Caenorhabditis elegans: one gene and its partner. The protein of the gene in region 1 interacts with the protein of each later gene in a pairwise test. Each region holds a gene or a part of one and is shown on either strand. Other genes may lie near its edges.

Region 1 (3,756 bases):
CGTCGTATTCGCATAACCCATTTTTCCGATTCCAAGTCTTTTGACACGTCTGTAAATACATGAACAAATAGTCATTTTTCACGAGTGTATAATAATAATAATCCTCTTGTCACTATCCATACCTTCTCTTAAAGTTGCCGTTGTCAAACTGAGGCGCATTGTCCGCCACCATTTGCCAATAGTTGCCCTTTCTGTCGTTCGCGCAGCTTTGTCCGTCTCGTGCTTTTTTGACAAAGCAGTCGTTGAGTGACAGATTGTGTCGAATACTGTTCTGCCATCCCTGTTTTCGTTTCGCGTCCGCGTCACGGTAATATGGGAATTTGGCCTCGATGAACTGAAACACACATCATCGGTTTTGTTTGCGCCTGATAGGAAACTAACATACTTTGAAAGGTTATATCTCGGTTCATAATAAAGATATCAATGAATGATCAACTACAAACCTATAGAAAAATAACCAAAAAATATTTGGCTGGTAGACAATTTTTGTTTAGGACAAACGAGAGCTGAGATATTAACTGTCAAAGTTGAATACTAAGGTTTTTGGGTCTTGACACGAAGAAGGTCTATATATATATATATTGACATTGTTATTGACTTGTAGGAGAGAGGAAAAGTTGTTCACTGTGTAAATGTTATGGGAGAGGCACAGGGTGCCCCCCACACCAAATTAGTCAGATCTATTAAGGTTGATGAGTCAAAACGGAAGAGTGGAAGTGGTGGGTTACGGTAGATGTGCTGGCTAGTGAGTTGGGTTTTCCAGAGTTAGATTGAACTGAACATTACTAGATCACTTGTGACAGGGTTACGGTAGGGCAGGGCTAGGTGGAAAAAAAAAGCAACCAACTGAATATCACAACAAAAATATCAATGTATGAAACTTACTGTACGAAAATGTGATATGGGAAAGATGATGTAGAACCTTAAGAACTTTTTTTCGAATTTCGTTTTTTTTGTAGCAATAAGGAGCAGATTAATTTTACTGCTATATAATCGTGTTAGAAAATCTCCAAAATAACAGATATTTTGAGGCTTTTCTAGTAATTTCAAAACAATTTAAAGTACAAAAAATATAGGGAGAATCTCCGGAGAAGTGACGAATATTTTTCTGGATTTTTAAATGAAGTATATGTCATTACAAGATGATCGCCAAATTTTTCGCTTCAAAGGAGCATTTTGAACTAGAAAATGTTTCATTAAATGGCTCGGCTTGATCAGTTTTATATGACTAAATAGACTCCGATGATTCAAGTTTTCAAATAATTGAAATTTACAAAAAAATCTTTCAAACGTTTGCCTATACCTGAAAAACTTAAAAGAAGATAAAAATCGGATTTGGAACAATTTCAGCAGCCTCGAAGTTAGTGTAAAGTGAGATAAAAATTCTCAGAAAAAAAGTAATTTTTAAAGTTTTGGAATTGAATTTCGTAGATCTATTTTTGCAGGAATAACTGAAAGTTCTAGCACATATTTTAATACTCAATATGACGTCCAAAAAAAACTGGAATATTCCGCTAACATTGTGAAAAATTTGCTCAAAAATTCTTCAAAATTTGAATTGCCGCACCAGTTTTGGGTTTTTAAAATGGTATTTTTCCGCAAAAAAGTATTTAGTTTTAGCAAAATTTTCATGATAATTCCTCCAAAACCGCTATACCAAAAAAACGTTATCGAAAAGCTTCCCGTTACCTTGTAAATCTGATTCAACGTCATTCTCTTATCCGGCGAAGCATCGATTGCCATTGCAATAAGTGCAACGTAACTGTATGGCGGCTTGTCAATCGAATTTCCCTCTTGACTGGAAAGAGCTCTTTTATTTTCAAAACTTTGCCTCTAACAGAATTTTGCAACGGGGATTTTGTATTTAGAGAAGAAGAAAAAGAAAATATGTTTCCCCTCTCTCTCTCCCTCTCTAAAAACAATAATAAATAAATAAAATAAATAAATACATAACTTACACAATATGAAATGGAAGATGTGTTTGATGGCGAGTCATGATTATTGTATTTTTTTATGGTAGGGGGTGTCAAATGAGACAACGGATTATGCAGAAGCTAAGAGTGAGGGCGGGGTCTCGGAACTGTGAAGACGGAGGTGTGGGTGGAGGGAAAGAAATGGAAGAAGATTGTGCACACTGTCTCCTTCTCCCCCCTGTGTGCTCCTGACATTTTCTGGTGCTGATTCACTGGTAAAAGGGAAACAGAAACATCCAATCTGATCATCTCTTACTTTTTATATTTTGTAAATAAACGAAAAATCGAAAGGGAGAACACGACGACGATTGGAGAATATTTGTATTACAACACAAAATTACACACAACTTTTTACAGGGAGGAGCCATCGAGCATTACTCGCAAAATGAGACGGCACATTTCAGCAGGAATCAGAAGGTTTGTGCTTCTTTTTGTTGTACACAGTACTCCCGTTACAGTAATCTGGAATTATTCTGAAAATTTTGCGATTTTTTAATCCTTAACTTGACCATATTTTTTGACTTTCCAGCGACTTTTAGTCACCTTTCATTCATTGTATTTTTTCTACTAGACTTCCAGGCACTTTCCTTTACTTTGACAGCGTATATCTCAGCTCTTTTTGATTTTATCAAAAATTATTAACTGGCAAAGTACTCCCAAAATAATTCTCTACATTTTATTAGTTTATCATTTTTTGTTAAAATCTAAGTGAACCAAGACATAAGTCGTCAAAGTGGAGCAATGTCGGCGCAAGGCTAATAGGGAAAATTGGCAAAATAGTAGATCAAAATGATTTCCAATTTTTTTTTTCAAACTTCTGAAAAACAAATTTGTTTTAAAATTAATGATTATAAACCACAAGTATCGTTTTTTTTTTAATTTAAATTTAATTTCATTAAAAACTGGATTTTTTTAACTTTTTAAATTTCCAGCCACATTTTTGGGCATTGTTTTCTGTAGCCTCGAAAAGTGAATAGAAGTGCCTGGATCGACCAAAATAATTTGAAATATTTGTTTTAATGCTAAAACGGTCAATTCAGACAAAACTAGCCATTTTCCAAAGCATCAGAAAAATTTAGAAACAAATTTAGAAAACTTGAAAATTTTTGATTGCAAAATTTTCGATTTTTTCGAAAAAAAAAAGATTTTTATCAATAATAATTTCCCTCAAGAAAGTGATTTTAAAAATGGTTGTTTAAAATAATTCACCACATAATCAGAATTTCAAATATTCAAACAATTTCCAAAATTGGATATTTTTCATAGATAGTTCTATTTTTTCACACTTTCAATTTTTCTCTGTGTAGTTTCAGAATCACAAGATATTTTCCCATTTGAAACGAAAACATATCACTTTAAATAAATCACCTGAATATTTGCCACTGTTTTGCTTATCTGTCTGACTTTCTCTTATCAACAAATTGTTTCAAACTTTTTGATCAAAGGTCTTGCTTGTTTCTATTTTTACTTACTCCCTGTATTTCTTTTCACATGAGTCTACAAGAGAGAAAAAAGTAGCCGTCATAAGGGTCAACTAACTACTCCATTTTCAGGCTGATGAACCATTGTTCTTCGATCGAGGTAACATTCAACATCACATCCCGCAAAAGTTGTTATTGGGACGAGAATTGGTGCAGACACTGGAAGAGGCAAAAGTGAAAAAGTTGGAGGAGAGAGAACAAATGGACAAGCATCCACAGGATCGCGATAATAAAGGTGACATTTTGACTGGAAATTTATTTTTTTCTTTGGGTTACTGTAGCTGAAAAAATCTGAAATTTGT
Region 2 (3,756 bases), on another chromosome or scaffold:
GTTATGAATGAGCAAAGGATTTGAGTTGATTAATGCCGAATTTCGTCCAATAGTAACAGGACCCACTACCTAAAAGTTCAATTGAAATTAACAACTAGCTTTCAAACTGAGTTACCTGAAAGGGATTCTGCTGAAAGAGGTCATGAAACGCCATTGGCAACAAAATAACATTTTGTTGTTTTCGAGAATCCGCATTTTCAACTACATTTCCGAGTTTCTTCTTACTACAGTACAAATCTTCATGAACTTTCAAATTGTGAAGGGAGTTGAATTTTGCCACGTGACAGTGTGGACATTCGTGTTCTGAAATTTCGAAATGCAGTTCTTTTCGAAAAGCAAAAAAGCTCACTTTTCTCCAACTTTTCTTGCTCCAGACGATAGTTCATATCAGCGACAAGAATGGCTCGAAGTGGCTCCACGGTCGTCAGATTTTTTGTGAAAAGAATTGTGAACACGGGACCTGAAACATTGGCCTAGGTGAAGTTGAAATTTCAAAAAAGTCGTTTGGTGGACTAATTAGTGAAAGCTAGGCAGGACATGAATTGTCTTTGAGTGCAAAAATATCCGTTTGGGTGGCCTAGTTTTCAATTTCTAGGCCATGTCGTGTGGCTCGCATACCTGTCTGCATAATGACACAATTAGCTAGAAGTGGACCTTGGGCTGCTTGAATTCTCCGCGTCACTGGATTCGATTCCATCTCGAAACCCATCGATTCACCGGTGAAGTTGGAGAGCTGGAAATTAAGGAGGTTCTACGGTGCATTTGTGCGGGGAATATGGTGTATTGTGTCTGTCGAATCAGAAGAATTCAATGCGCCAAAAGTTACGCGCAAATTTGAGAACCCACCGGTAGTCAGAATCCAGTTTTGATCTACAGATATTGCGCCAACTTCTATAACTTACAGTATATGCTTTAACTTACAGTAATCCTCAACAGTTGTCCATTGCCGCTCACAGAATACGGTCCAACACAATCGCCACATCTAAACTCGATTGGTGCGGTCATAACTTGTTTTCGTATTGACTGCAAACTTTTGATGATAATTCAGTCCTCAATATTCAACAAAAAAAGTTTTACGCGATGTGTAAATTTAATTTTCTAATTTTTTTTGCGTTATTTTTGTAATTTTGAATTTATATTTATCATCATTTCCCTATTCATTAATCAATATTTTTGTTTGTCAAATGTAGCGTTTTGGGTCTCGCAACGCTTAATTCTTTTGAGTTTACTGTACTGTAATTTCACCTTTCATAAGAAAACCGATAATAAAAATAAGAACAAATCAAATTTCAACAAGTTGTCAGAAAAAGGTGCAAGATAACATTACTTATTAGAAGAGCACACCTTTTTGCATTTCACAAAAATTTGTAGTGTCGAGACCGGGTTTGAAGCAAAAATCAAAAAATCTACTGTAACTCACGCTAGCTATTGTATTATGCAGAATCGATTGGTTTACATCCATTGTATATAAATGAAGTGGCCGAATGAGAAAACGAAAGAAGAGGCTTCCGACGAAGAAAGATGGGCTCGAGTGAGCGATAAGATCTCAGGGACAACGCGGGGCGCAGAGCAAGTTGTGCGTGCTCCGGCACTCCGAGTCACACAGATTTTGATGATAAGGTGAAGAAGAAGAAGACAAAAGGAAGATTGGGAAGAGCAGATGAAGTGACTGAACAACTGAAATAGATTGAATCTCCGGTTGGAATGAATATTAGATTAGTAGAGATTTGAGAGGAAAAGTTGAGTAGTGAACATTGCGCGTGAAATGTGATGCATTGAGTTGGCAGGTGCTTTAAGAGCAAAATATGAAATTTTAATAGAGAAAATCTAATGTTTTAAACTTCTGAATATTGCTTTGTTTTTGAAATTAATTATTTATGAGAATCTCCAAAGTACTGTCAGATTGAAGCCTTTTACCTTAGTGCATAATTTGAGCTACGGTAATTATTTTTTTGCGTATTAAATGTGCTTACACTTCAACAGTTTAAAGGTACATAGATGTTTCTAGAATATTTTCATAGATGGCTGATTCAAAATTAAAAGCTCTATATAGTAAAGTAATATTATAACATTGACTTTTGCCTACCGAATATCTCAATTATCGCCGTCTTCCTTACTGATCATTATCTACCCCAATTTTTATCTTTAATCAGTTACCACAATCTCTTATCATCTGTGATTCAGTTTAACTATACATGTAGGGATGTTCCCAGTTGTCGACTGTAGACATTTCACTAGGTTGAGGCGTGACGGGGGCGCCTCTCTCTCTCTCTCTCTCTCTCTCTCTCTCTCTCTCTCTCTTCGCCCTTCTCGCGCCCTATCCGTGCAATTCACTTATATACACGCTATAGCTATACAGCGAACTTTATTTTCTTCTTCTACGGTTTCAAAGGCGCACGTATTTATGCGAAATGGTCTCACCACGCGTTACTCATTAATGTTTTTTTTTTTCAATCAATGGGTTGCGCGTAGCGAGGCCATTCCGCTTAAATACGCGTTTATTTTTTTATCAATATAATATCAATTGGAATTATTTTAAATGAAAGAGAAAAAACCCCAAAGCAGAGTTCAAAAGATGTTCGTGCACGATCGTGTAGCAGCAAATCGGCGGCCGAGTTTTTTCTTTCATTTCCGCGGCCGCACAATAATCATGACGGTTTTACTGCATGACCAAGAGAGAGAGAGAGAGAGAGAGAGAGAGAGAAAATCTCGGCCATCAAGGTTTTCATGCAAAATTCAAGTTATCGACAGTTTCCGAAACGCAAAAACATGTGCCAATTTTTTCTCAGAAAAAAACTCACGAAAAATCAGGATAGTGCATACTATAAAAAATAAAATACTGAAAGTATGTATTCTCACAGTTCTCTCTAAAAGCCGCCACGTGGCAATGTCAAAAATTCAAAAGTGCCACCGGTTTTTTTCGAATTAAAACTCAAAAAAGTGATAAAAATGTATTATTACTGATGAAAATGTGAGGAAGAGGAAAAAGAAAGTGAGCCTGTGTGATATTATCATATCAGTTGAATTGAATCAGTGGAGTATGTGCTGATAGGGTTTCTTATCAGTTTCAACTAAAAAAACTAAACGACACCGATTGATTGCAAAACATCAGCTGATTGCAGATGTATGACGTGGCAGGAGGCACTGAAAAGCAAAAAAAGGTTCAGGAAATGTAGGAAAAAGGAAAAGCGGTGATAAAACTATAAAATATGAGGTAACCGGAAACGGGACAGAAGGATTGTTCAGAGAGGGTTCTACAATGCATCTTTTCACCGAATTCCTACTATTTTTTGGGTTTTTCTTAAAAATCGTAAGTTAGGAAAGATTCTGTGTTAATTTTTTTCTTGTTAATCTTAAGGTAGATCCAGAAAAACTGGACAACATTTTTTTGGTGTTCATTACAGTACCCAAGAGCATTTTTTATTCCTCATAATCAGAAAGACACTTTGAATTTTTTTAAAAATGAACTCCAAAAAATATAGAAACCTTCCAGGAATCAGCACTAGAAAGCAGTTTTCCACTAAAAGTCCTTCCGTTGAAATTCGGGGAAAATCCAAAAAATCATGAAAGAGTGTACTACTCCGAGGAGAGTGTGATCAATATTTTTAGTAAGTTTGAGGTCCTACCACGAAGTTTTTTAAATGTTTAATTTACGTAATTCAACCATTTGAGATCATTTTGTAAAATTGACATCCCAATAAAAGAATGTTCCAATAAATTAAAAAAAAAACAAATTACAGTTATATTTGGTCACTA

What was found.
Region 2: the proteins of fkh-6 (region 1) and F21A9.2 interact in a two-hybrid assay, tested with the Caenorhabditis elegans proteins (one large-scale study listed by BioGRID).

Annotation. Positions count from the first base shown.
Region 1 is NC_003280.10:4,381,293-4,385,048, forward strand, and holds the start of fkh-6 (Forkhead transcription factor fkh-6), read right to left. Parts: upstream 2,115-3,756; 5' UTR 1,997-2,114; coding exon 1,959-1,996; intron 1,799-1,958; coding exon 1,690-1,798; intron 335-1,689; coding exon 123-334; intron 50-122; coding exon 1-49. Other genes in the region: B0286.1 (uncharacterized protein), read left to right, coding at 2,331-2,390, 3,527-3,689. UniProt on the Caenorhabditis elegans protein: Probable transcription factor. Binds to the DNA sequence motif 5'-[TA]TGTT[TG]T[TG][ATG]TT-3'.
Region 2 is NC_003279.8:3,707,759-3,711,514, forward strand, and holds the start of F21A9.2 (C2H2-type domain-containing protein), read right to left. Parts: upstream 1,678-3,756; 5' UTR 1,463-1,677; coding exon 1,421-1,462; intron 1,024-1,420; coding exon 922-1,023; intron 734-921; coding exon 619-733; intron 461-618; coding exon 350-460; intron 304-349; coding exon 116-303; intron 70-115; coding exon 1-69. Other genes in the region: F21A9.1 (PRELI/MSF1 domain-containing protein), read left to right, coding at 3,260-3,310, 3,494-3,608.